Schizosaccharomyces pombe: one gene and its partner. The protein of the gene in region 1 interacts with the protein of each later gene in a pairwise test. Each region holds a gene or a part of one and is shown on either strand. Other genes may lie near its edges.

Region 1 (4,352 bases):
TGTCATTATTCTGCCAATCCCGTGAATGTGGAGGGTCAAATTGGTTTCAAGATCACTGTTCAAGAGGACGAAGAATCTGATCCTAAAGAAAAGATTTTGACTGCTCATGAGGCTAGTGTCCGTCACTTACGCCGTCTTACTGAGTCTGCTGAGGACTTTTTGGGTACAAAGGTCAACGGATGTGTTATGTCTGTTCCTGTCTATTTTACTGACGCTCAACGTAAGGCTCTGGAATCTGCTGCCAATGAAGCTGGACTTCCAGTTTTGCAGTTGATTCATGACCCGGCTGCTGTTATTTTGGCCTTAATGTATTCCGAAGAGGTTCTGATCGACAAAACTGTTGTGGTCGCTAACTTTGGTGCCACTCGCTCTGAGGTCTCTGTTGTATCTGTTAAGGGTGGTCTAATGACCATTTTGGCTTCAGTTCATGATGAGAATTTGGGAGGTGAGCAATTAACTGATGTGTTGGTTAATTTCTTTGCCAAGGAGTTTGAAAAGAAGAATGGAATTGATCCTCGCAAAAATGCCCGTTCCCTTGCTAAGCTCCGTGCTCAATGTGAGATCACTAAGCGTGTACTTAGCAATGGTACTACCGCTTCTGCTGCTGTAGACTCTTTGGCCGACGGCATCGACTTCCATAGTAGCATTAACCGCCTTCGTTATGACCTTGCAGCAAGCGCCACTTTAAATCGCATGGCCGATCTTGTAACCGAAGCTGTTGAAAAGGCAAACATGGAGCCTTTTGATATTTCTGAGGTTATTTTAGCTGGTGGTGCCTCCAATACTCCCAAATTAACTTCCTTGATGGAATCCATTTTCCCTGAACAAACTATCATCCGTTCCTCTAGTTCAGTTACTCCTTTGCAATTAGACCCTTCTGAACTTACCGCGATCGGTTCCGGTGTTCAAGCTTCTTTGATTGGGCACTTTGATGCTGCTGACATTGCTGCTTCTACTGATGCACAAGTGGTTGATGTTCCTCACCTTACTGCTCCTATCGGTATCAACGAAGGTGAGAACTTTGTTACTATTTTCGACATCGAGACTGCTTTGCCTGCTCGAAAGACTGTTGAGGTGATTGCTCCTAAAGAGGGTGCTGCCTTTATTCCAATTTATGAAGCTGAGCGTTCAGTAAAGGTTACCAAAGTTGAACCGGAGCCTATTGATGAGGAAGAGGCATTTTCTGATGATGAAGAAGAGGAGCCAGAGGAGATTAAAGAGCGTATCGCTATACCCAAGACTTTGATTGCCACCATTACTCTTCCTGATGTTTCTCCTAATGCCAAGATCGAGCTGGTTCTTCAAATAGATGCTGAAGGGAAATTAACGGCAAGTGCACGTCCTAAGGATGGCAAGGGAACTAACGTTCGTGGATCTACTGCATAATTTTGGCTTGGCTATAAAAAATCATAAAAATTTATCTATGTCATAGTTTTTTTTCTATGTCTGATCTGTTGAGAAGAGGGTTTAGGAAAGGAAAGCTAGAATAGCTGGTAGACTGTATTAAATTAAAATTAAATTACACGGCCATTTATGCATATAAAATGTTTGATTTTTTCATTCATGTGACGTAGCAATATTTTTCAAAAACTGACAGTTTAAATTGACTTACTGAAAGTAAATTTCATGTACTATACTTCAATAATTTTATTCAACTTCCACTTCGTGATTTATATTGAGAGAATGATATGATGTTGCTGCAAGGAAATGTTGGTGGTGATAATTTTATAAGTATACGACGACACATTCACCTAATACAAACAAATTATGTTTGAGATGGTTGGAATAGTTTTCGTTTAGTTATAAGACAGACCATTTTAAATAATTAAAACTCGTTGTGGACATGATGAAGGATTATTATTCAGAAAATGGTTTTGAAGAAATTTTTGAAGAGAAAGGTTCGACCAGCAGTAATATATCGGACAATTGTGCATCTAGAGATTACGATGTAAATATTAGTAGTGACAACCCTCGTTTACTCGATTCATATCGTCCGAAAGGAAATTATGGAAGGGACAGGAACTCACCCCTTTCTAGACACATCGGTGTTCCTAATCAAGAAATCATTCTTCAAGGGTTGACTCCGGAAATATTAGAAGAACATGTGTGATTCAGACTTAATTTTTATTGAAGGAAATACTAACAAAAATGCGTGAAGATTGAACTTGCGTTGTACGCCACGGGTGCTAAAGTTTCTACTGTTACACTAATAAGAGAGAAAGAAACACAAAAATCTCGCTGTTTTGCCTTCGCTAAATTTGTTTCCTTACAGGATTCTAAGGATTGGATGGAAGCCAATTTTCCAACGCTGGTCATCGACGGTATTGATGTGTCTGTACGTTTTTCACGTGCGGCCAGAGAGCAGATTGAGGGTTGGTGTTGCCAAAATGTAAACAATTTTAACAATTAATATTGTTTTTTCACATATAATTTTTTTTTACTTACTAACTGTTGGAGTAGTGTGATATTCTAAATTATTCATATAGAGAGTCTTGCTTCAAATGTCGTGTGCCAAGGAATCAGGCTTCGATTGCTATTGGAAATCATAAAATCAGTAAACGGAATGGCGACATGGATGTAAGTGATGTACCCTCAGTATACCTTATATTACGAAACCTTGACCGTTCACTTTCTGAAGAAACGTTATGGAAGGGACTTTCCAAATTAGAAATTGACGTCCAAAGGGTTTTCATGATTCGATATAAGTTTAATGATGCGTTTTGTGGTTATGCCATACTAGAATTTAAAGATGTAGATGAGTCAGCGAAAGCACTTATGAAAGCCCGCACGTACCCGGGAAAGGGCTTCACGTTAGCTTCTAGGAAAGTGTCTGTTGATTACATTCATGATGGAGTTTTAATTCCTGCATATACGGAATCTGCAAGATGGCAATTTCCTACAAAAACTGGTTATCTCGTTTATTGGGACCCAGAACTATATTGCTCGATCTATGTTCCTGAAGGCATTGATACAGATCAGTTTAAACCAATTGAAGTAAATAAGAAACCAAAAAAAGAAAAGCGTGCACGATCATCCAATTACATAGATGTACCTGCTTCTAAGAAGGTATGTGTCTTAATGTTAGCATAAACCTGCTGATATGTATAGGTTGCCACTTCATTGCAAAGATGGAATGATGCGCAGAAGGAATTAAAAGACAATATCCCTGATCTCTCTGAAGAAGAAGAAAAGTTGCTTTTACACTTTGTGTGGAAATCGGCTTTAATATGCGTTTTGTGTGAGCGAAAGTTTCAGAGTTGGGGCCATGTAGTAAAACATATTACTCAGTCTATTATGCACAACAATAATCTGAAAAACCACGAACTTGTCTCTTCTGCAGAGCTTTTGATGCACCGAGTTCGTCAAACTGAGTCTGTTGATTACAGAGATCGCGCTACTGAACGTCGAATAGTACCTGCTGCTTCTAGTGATACAATAGTTGAGGCTAAAAAGTCATCTCAGGGCTCAAGCTTTCACTCCACCTCTAATGTTAGCATGAAAATGCTTAATTCTATGGGATGGAACAAAGGAAGTGGTCTTGGTACTAACGAAAATGGGATCAAGGAAGCTATTCAACCGACGATGTATTTGCCCGGTGTTGGACTTGGCAACAAGGGGAGTAAAATACAGATCAACATGACTCCGGTTGACAGAGTGAAAGACCGAGCAAGGTCTTTGTATTTTCAAAATGATAAAAACAATAATTTATAATAGGGAATTTTTTTATTTGCGTCGAAAATCTCTTAATATTACAGTAATTTAATACCATGATTTTATGTCTCCTACTTATGCTTATTGTGTTTGAGGAAATACAAATTTTGTAAAGTATGGCAATTCAATACTAAACGTCTAATATTCTATATAAAGTAATTTCCCCTTGGTATATTAAAACATTGGAATTCCGTACAGTTTAAGAGAAACACTTTATTTTTAACCGTATATGCCCTTCAGGTTACATTTCTAAAGTTTCTATTATTTTGAAACTACCCAAAGTCAATCAAATCAGTACTGAGTTAAATAGGGTAGGGTTTTTATGTGACTGCTCCTGTAGATACAAAACAAGCATTTCGCGAAATTGCAAACTGTTTTTACCACCTACAGTTTATAAAGTAAAAGTAGTCCAAAACAGGTATGAAATATTAAATATTACAAGATGTGAGCGGAAGTCTATTGGTACATTTATTCTTCAGTGAATACTTGAACCCAATGGGTGGAACCTTTTTTTCTTGAAATCTTTAAACAAGACACTCAAGAAAACTAACGCGCTTCTCGTCAGAAACACAAAATGGTTCGTCAATCTGTTCTCGCTGATTGTTTAAACAATATCGTCAACGCCGAGCGCCGTGGACGTC
Region 2 (6,528 bases), on another chromosome or scaffold:
CAATTCTGGAATGAAGACTCTTAATTTAAAAATGACCTGTTAAATTTGGGTTTTTTTTACTTGGTTAAAATAATGGATATTTGGTTGTGTATAATTTACTGGATCACTTAATAAAATGTTAGAATCCTTTGAATAATAATTTGTTTAGTGGGTAACTGAAAGAATGATATTTATCCTCATATGTATTTTTTTTTTGTGGAAAAATGAATTACGAGTGATGGAGAAAAGCCGATTTGCAAAAAAAGATGTAATAACGTCAGATTCCTTCAAAGTTGAGAAAGCCGGACATTAAAAGAATCCTATAATACTTCTTCTTAGTAATTTCGTTGGTCCAATTCCATGCACTAGTGAGCCGACCATCAATACAACTTCCACCATCAGATCCCTGACCATTAAAACCATGACGAAAAAAGTCTAACAAAATTGTTTTTTGAAGTCCATTGACGCTTCCATATTCGTTTTCGATATACTGAACCAAGTATGGATCACGTAAAAATTCTAGTTGCTGTAAAACTTTGACCAATGGCGCTAATATGTGAGGTACTTGGCGATATTTGTCAATAAACATCAGGGCATTAGGAACATCCCTATCACCTAAGTGTATTACAGAGCTTCCCATCCAAGGGATTTCTTGTTGCTTCTGAACGGATGATAGAATCCTGGTAACTGTAGATCGAACTAATGGACAAAGCTGAACACGATTTAAACCTTGGCCAGTGTCACTAATGAAGTACCTAGAATGTTTATCGAGTAAAGAAGCGTCGCTCTCTAACCATAAAAGAAACATTTGGTCCATCATACAGGACCAAAACACTAAACTCTGATCAACATAGAAAAATTGAGTTTTATGGTCGTGATTTAATTTGGCACCAGTCATATATCCAATCTTTAAACTACCATTTTTAGTGTCGTGTGGATTAAAAAATTTATGTAAATAGGCACGCATCTTTTCCACAGGATTTCGATTAGCTAAAAGGAAAGCTTCATGATCAGCTAAAGAAGCGAAGCAGTCCGTAAGCACTTTCTGTAATTTTTCATCTTTTCCTGGATTATACTTTTTCAAAAGAGTTTCTGAAGCTTCTTCCCGTTCTTTTAACAGTTCTGCTTTGGCATTGGCATTACTTTGAGGATCGCTCTGTTTTAAAAGATTGTTTAAAAGCTGTTTCTCTTCAAGCAGACCCAAAAGTTTGTGCTTTTCCAAAACATTGTATACAGTTTTTATGGGTGATACGAAATCAAAGCCAAGTTGACTACGAACATCTGGAATTAAACTGTCTTGGCACATATACATAACAGCACCATATGTTGCACGCATTTTCTCGGGATTCATAATTTTGTATCTCCTTCCAATTTCAAAAACGGTTTGAAAAAACCTAGCATTTGATTTGTGGTCTCTTCCAATTAGTAAATCACGTCCTGCTTTAATATCCATTGCAGTGACAAGTCCCATCACTATACTGCACATTTCGTTCAAGTATTTTACCATCAGTTTGGTCCTGGTGGTATAAGAGATAATGTCGACATGGCCCGTATAATCAATTACTTCAAGTCTATAATTTCATTGTTAGTTTTGGTCGATCCACCAAAAACAGATACGATCGTATAATTTTATGTCCCGAGAAACGGGAAAGTGTTCAATAATAATTAAATAATGTAACAGTTCATATACAAGAGAAATAATTTATGCGAACAGTTCTTGTAAAAGTTTCACATAATCGCGCACAATCAAACACTTTGGAAATAACTATTAGAAAAATATTTCTTTATTGGTAATATTTTAAAATAAGGAACCCTTGAACATTCCACATTTCAAACGGGACTCGGCCAACAGGCATTTCCATAAGATGGATTTACTTACGCTGCTTCTAACAAGCTCAAAATTTTTCGTTCCTCATCACTTAATCTTACAGGGACATATTTTGATTTTTCTACCCAACTCTGGTTAAACAATTGAGCTATTGACATTTTGGTGTTGGTCAAGTACTTTCCTAACTTTGCTAACCAATTCTAAACACTTGTTTTGATAAATTCTGACTACAACAGCTCCATTGTCAAGCTTTCATAAAGATTGAATATTTAAGGAAGTAAAGTATTTAATTCCTTGCTATAAATTACATCTTTGGACGATTGATTTCAGTTATTGTACGATAAAATATAAACCAAAGTTTTGAGGTGAAAAGTGGCTATTTCGACTAATTAGTCAACTTGGCTGTTTATTTGGGAGTATCTTGAATAATTGCTCAATTTTCAATAAGTCTCTCTTTTTTTCGTCATTCTGATTACAAAATCTCACGTTTAGGATTTTTTGTGCACTGATCTTTGCTTACCATTTTCCGGTAGTAGAAGATACTTAATTTACATTTTTCTAACAAGGAAGAATAATTATATAAAAAAATTTAAATTATCGTGCACTTTGTTTGCAAAAAAGAACGACTGCCTCAAAATTCTGAAATGTCATTTTTCCAACTAGAAAATCCATAGATAGAAGGACTTGGCTCTTACCATTATAGGACCAAATGTACCAGCAGCATATCTTTTACTTTATCACTGGAGGTATCTTCATCTTATGGATACTTGCTCATAGTTTCTTTGTCAAAATTATCTATTTATGGGCTTCTGGTTGTTTGTTGTGGTACTGTTTGGAGACGAGAACGTTTGAAAATAAAAATAATCTTGGAACATCTGAGCCATTTCTTGTTAACCCAGCTATATTCCAAAAACGAGCGCGTCAATTGGCACTTTCCAAACTTCTTCTTCGTCAGCCATTATATCCAGGAATACCTGAAATTTCTGAAGAGATAGAATCCATTATTTCACATTTTATGCAAAAATATATTAAGGTATGGTCTTATCAAATTATTCCCGAACCGACAATTTCAAACAGTATAGAATCCCATTTGCGAAAATGTCTTATGGTGTTATTAAGTCGAGTTGATGAAATTGATCTTGCTGATGTTTTGGTTAAAACAGTTCTACCACTGATTACAAAACATTTAAGATTATTCGTTGAAGCAGAACAGCTTGTTGTAGGTAATAAGGCAGTATCCTTTACTGACCATTCTGAACTGTCTCGTGAAGTTGCGGCGAAATATGATCATGGGAGATTGCATGAAGCAGTACTTCTTTCTGGAAATCCCATGGTAGCTCAGAAGAGATATTTACGAAATTGGACGACACAAGTTTTGTCTATTATTCTACCGAATTATTATGAAACCAGCCCTCTTGTACTTTCGCTCGTTACAGAGGTTATTATTAATACTACATTATTACCGCTAGTATCTTATATTTCAGATCCTGATTTTTTCAACTATTTAATTATTCAGGCTAGCGGTAGTATAATTCAGCGTCGGCGAAAGATTCGTCGTCTGAAACGTGCCATTCGCAAGCAATCTAATCACTTTCAGGTTGGAGCACGTCGTCTCCGATTAAAAGATAGTCAACACTCTTTTGAACAATATATTCATGAAATTAAAAAAATCTCTAATATTTCAGATGCCCGAAGATTACGTTCTGAACTAATGGTCCAAAGGCGTCAACTTGAACAGACCGAAGCATTTGATTTTGAATTTAAACAATATAGGGAGCGATTACAGATAGCTATAATTACTGCTGAGAAAAGGATTTCCTTACTTTCTGGAACTCCATTTCAGCATAAAGAAGCGGTGCTATTTGAACAAGTGCAATCACTACTTCAAATCCTATCTGACTCGGCGGCGGTTTCCTGTTTTCTCGAATTTATGGAGAGAAAGAACAGATCTCGCTATTTGCATTTTTGGCTTGTAGTTGAAGGCCTAAAAGAATCACAGGATGATCCATTGAATGCGCATATGATTGCGCCGTTTTCCGATATCGTTTCTGACCATACAGACTTTACAGCCATTGTCAAATCATACTTTGAAAGCGTCGATAACCCACTGGACATCCCAAAGCCTCTCACTAATACAATTAATAAATTCGTTAACCAAAGTAAAGATAACTTAAACCCTGATCTATGGGTAGAGGCTAGGAATGCAATGCTTATGGCTCAAGAGCATGTGTTCGATATCATGCAGAACAGTGATTATTCTGAATTCGTTAACAGCGAGATCTATTACAGGTTCCTAGCCCAAGATGTAGTATCTGATCATAAGTCTACCAATTCTTCTGCCACGTTCAGTAGATTAGAAGAGTTGGGCGAGAACATACCAGCGATATCAAAACAACCTTCATATCTTAGTATTTCTTCGTCGTCAAAATCCATCAATTCATCTCCTTCTCCCTCTATTCAGTTATCTGTCTCTTCGTCCATTTCTCGGGATAAAAACCTCTCTCCTTTGGATTTAGAATTGGATGATCCTACCTATAGTGATGAAGAAGAAGTTTTATTTGCTCCACCAGGTGATCTCCAACTTTCTGAAAGTATCGATGAATTAAACAATAACATCGAGGAGTTGAAAGCTCAATTAAACGCTATCAACACTCTTATAAAGAAGGCTGAGCTGGTTGCTGACCAAAAGCAATTGAAAAGCCTTACTAAAAACCATCAAGAGATTGAAAAAGCAATTCACCGCAAAGAACGTCAACGAGATCAGTATATGTCGCAAGAAGAAGACAGTAAACTCTTTAATCGCTCTCGGGTGTCTATTGATTCATTTAAAATTAGCAAAGAGGAGAACACCCCAGACTTTGCTGTTTACACCATACGCATTGAACGACTTGAAAATGGACATGTCCGTTCCGGATGGATGGTGGCTAGACGGTATCGAGAGTTTGCAGAGTTGCATAAGCAGCTAAAGCAAACATACCCTGGAGTCAGATCTTTAAAATTTCCTCAAAAATCGATCATCACCTCTTTAAACAAAAATGTTTTGGAATATCGAAGGGGTGCTTTAGAAGAATATCTTCAATCATTATTCAGAATGCCAGAGGTTTGTGACAGCAAAATGTTGAGGATGTTTTTGTCACAACAAAATATCACAGCACCACAAATGTTTAATCCTAAAGAAGTTGGCAAAAAATGGAAGCAGCTTTTAGAAGTCTTAGGGTTTGAAGTTAATAATTCTTTCAACGCATCCAACGTTAACACTAACTCGTCATTCTCAGGTCCCATCTCGGAATTTTTAGTCGAATTGTTTTCTCCAAATGACGATGCAAAGCAGCAATGGTTACCGAAAAAAACTTATATATCGATATTGGAACAACTTTTTGGCGGAGCTTTGGAAAAGCGTATACGACTACAACTGTTTCAGTTGTTTACGCCTGAGAAGATTTATAGGAAGTTACGCGAGTTTAGACGAGGACTTGAAGGTAAATCTAATCATGATCACTCCAAAGACCGCCGTCATTCACGGGCGCGAAAGCCAGCTTATGCTGATAGGAATCAATTGAAAGCAGAAGCAGGGATTTTGCTTGCTTCCATGTTTCCCGGCTATACACCTGATATTGCTGTGAAAAGAATATTTCGTATTCTCCAAAACCAATCTCTAAACGCTCATGTTATATACACCCTTCTTGACGAGATTTTGCTGGCTTTAAAGAAACACGCTAGATCAACTAATAAGGCAACTTGAGTGTCACTTTTTTACCTCTCTTGTTAAATCATAGCAAGAGTAATCATGTTCATGCTTTTCTTTAATCATATAATGTAATTTCTTCATAGGATTTGATAATACTTTATTACAATTCATCCACTAGATAATTTCAAATCCTGTATTGTTACTGACTTTAAAAGAAGGGTTATACCATTTGAAGTACAAATTATGCGTAAAAATTAAAGCAAAAAGACTTTTTCATTTTAGCCAAAAACTATCAAATTACTATGATTTTTCTATCCCCTCTCCATTTTCTTGCATAAGCAAATGGTGGCTTCTAGTAGCGATGTCGGGTAGAGTAATCTTTTGGAGAAATAACAAGACCTTTACCTTTTCTAGCACCACGAAAAATAGTTTCTATAATATCGATCATCTCTTGTTTATCTTCTAACGGCCAGTTGATTTTGTTATTGTTACCAGTACCTAAGTCAATCATCATGTGTTTGTTTCGATAAAAAAACATTATTGTAGTTCTGTCATAAAGCTCGTACATCTAGATGGTAATAAGGTTAGCAACATGACTTTCCAACTAAGACTTAGACTTACCTTGTTGAAGTCAGGAACTTCGTCAATGTCCACTAAATATATGACAGCCATGTTGACGACCTTTTCAGCAATTCTGTATAGGACTTCATCTTGTTTTATACATTCTTCATCCTATTCCGTTACGCGTTAGTAAATTAATCCGCCTACAATATTAAATAGACTTAATCCAAGTAGATATCGACATTAGAACATACATGATCTCTACCAAATCGAATGACAACCAAGCGCTCTTGTTCTATTTATAAAAAAAAAGGTTAATAAGCTGATTCGAAGTTGTGAAACGAGAAACATTCTACGTTTCTTAAAGTTCGCGTACCTGATAAAATTGCTTGATCAACGTGCCTATAAACATAAGTTAGAGAAGAATAAATCCATCTATCACAAAAACTTACCATCCAGAATGTAAATGAGG

What was found.
Region 2: the proteins of rbm10 (region 1) and snx12 interact in a two-hybrid assay, tested with the Schizosaccharomyces pombe proteins (one large-scale study listed by BioGRID).

What each region holds. Positions count from the first base shown.
Region 1 is NC_003424.3:1,512,123-1,516,474, reverse strand, and holds rbm10 (RNA-binding protein), read left to right. Parts: upstream 1-1,740; 5' UTR 1,741-1,846; coding exon 1,847-2,104; intron 2,105-2,158; coding exon 2,159-2,389; intron 2,390-2,460; coding exon 2,461-3,066; intron 3,067-3,108; coding exon 3,109-3,711; 3' UTR 3,712-3,792; downstream 3,793-4,352. Other genes in the region: ssz1 (putative heat shock protein Pdr13), read left to right, coding at 1-1,386; rps2202 (40S ribosomal protein uS8), read left to right, coding at 4,286-4,352.
Region 2 is NC_003421.2:872,092-878,619, forward strand, and holds snx12 (sorting nexin Snx12), read left to right. Parts: upstream 1-1,999; 5' UTR 2,000-2,516; coding exon 2,517-5,549; 3' UTR 5,550-5,712; downstream 5,713-6,528. Other genes in the region: SPOM_SPCC16A11.03C (uncharacterized protein), read right to left, coding at 257-1,550, 1,859-1,965; U4/U6 x U5 tri-snRNP complex subunit Dim1, read right to left, coding at 5,848-6,063, 6,117-6,227, 6,311-6,351, 6,433-6,458, 6,509-6,528.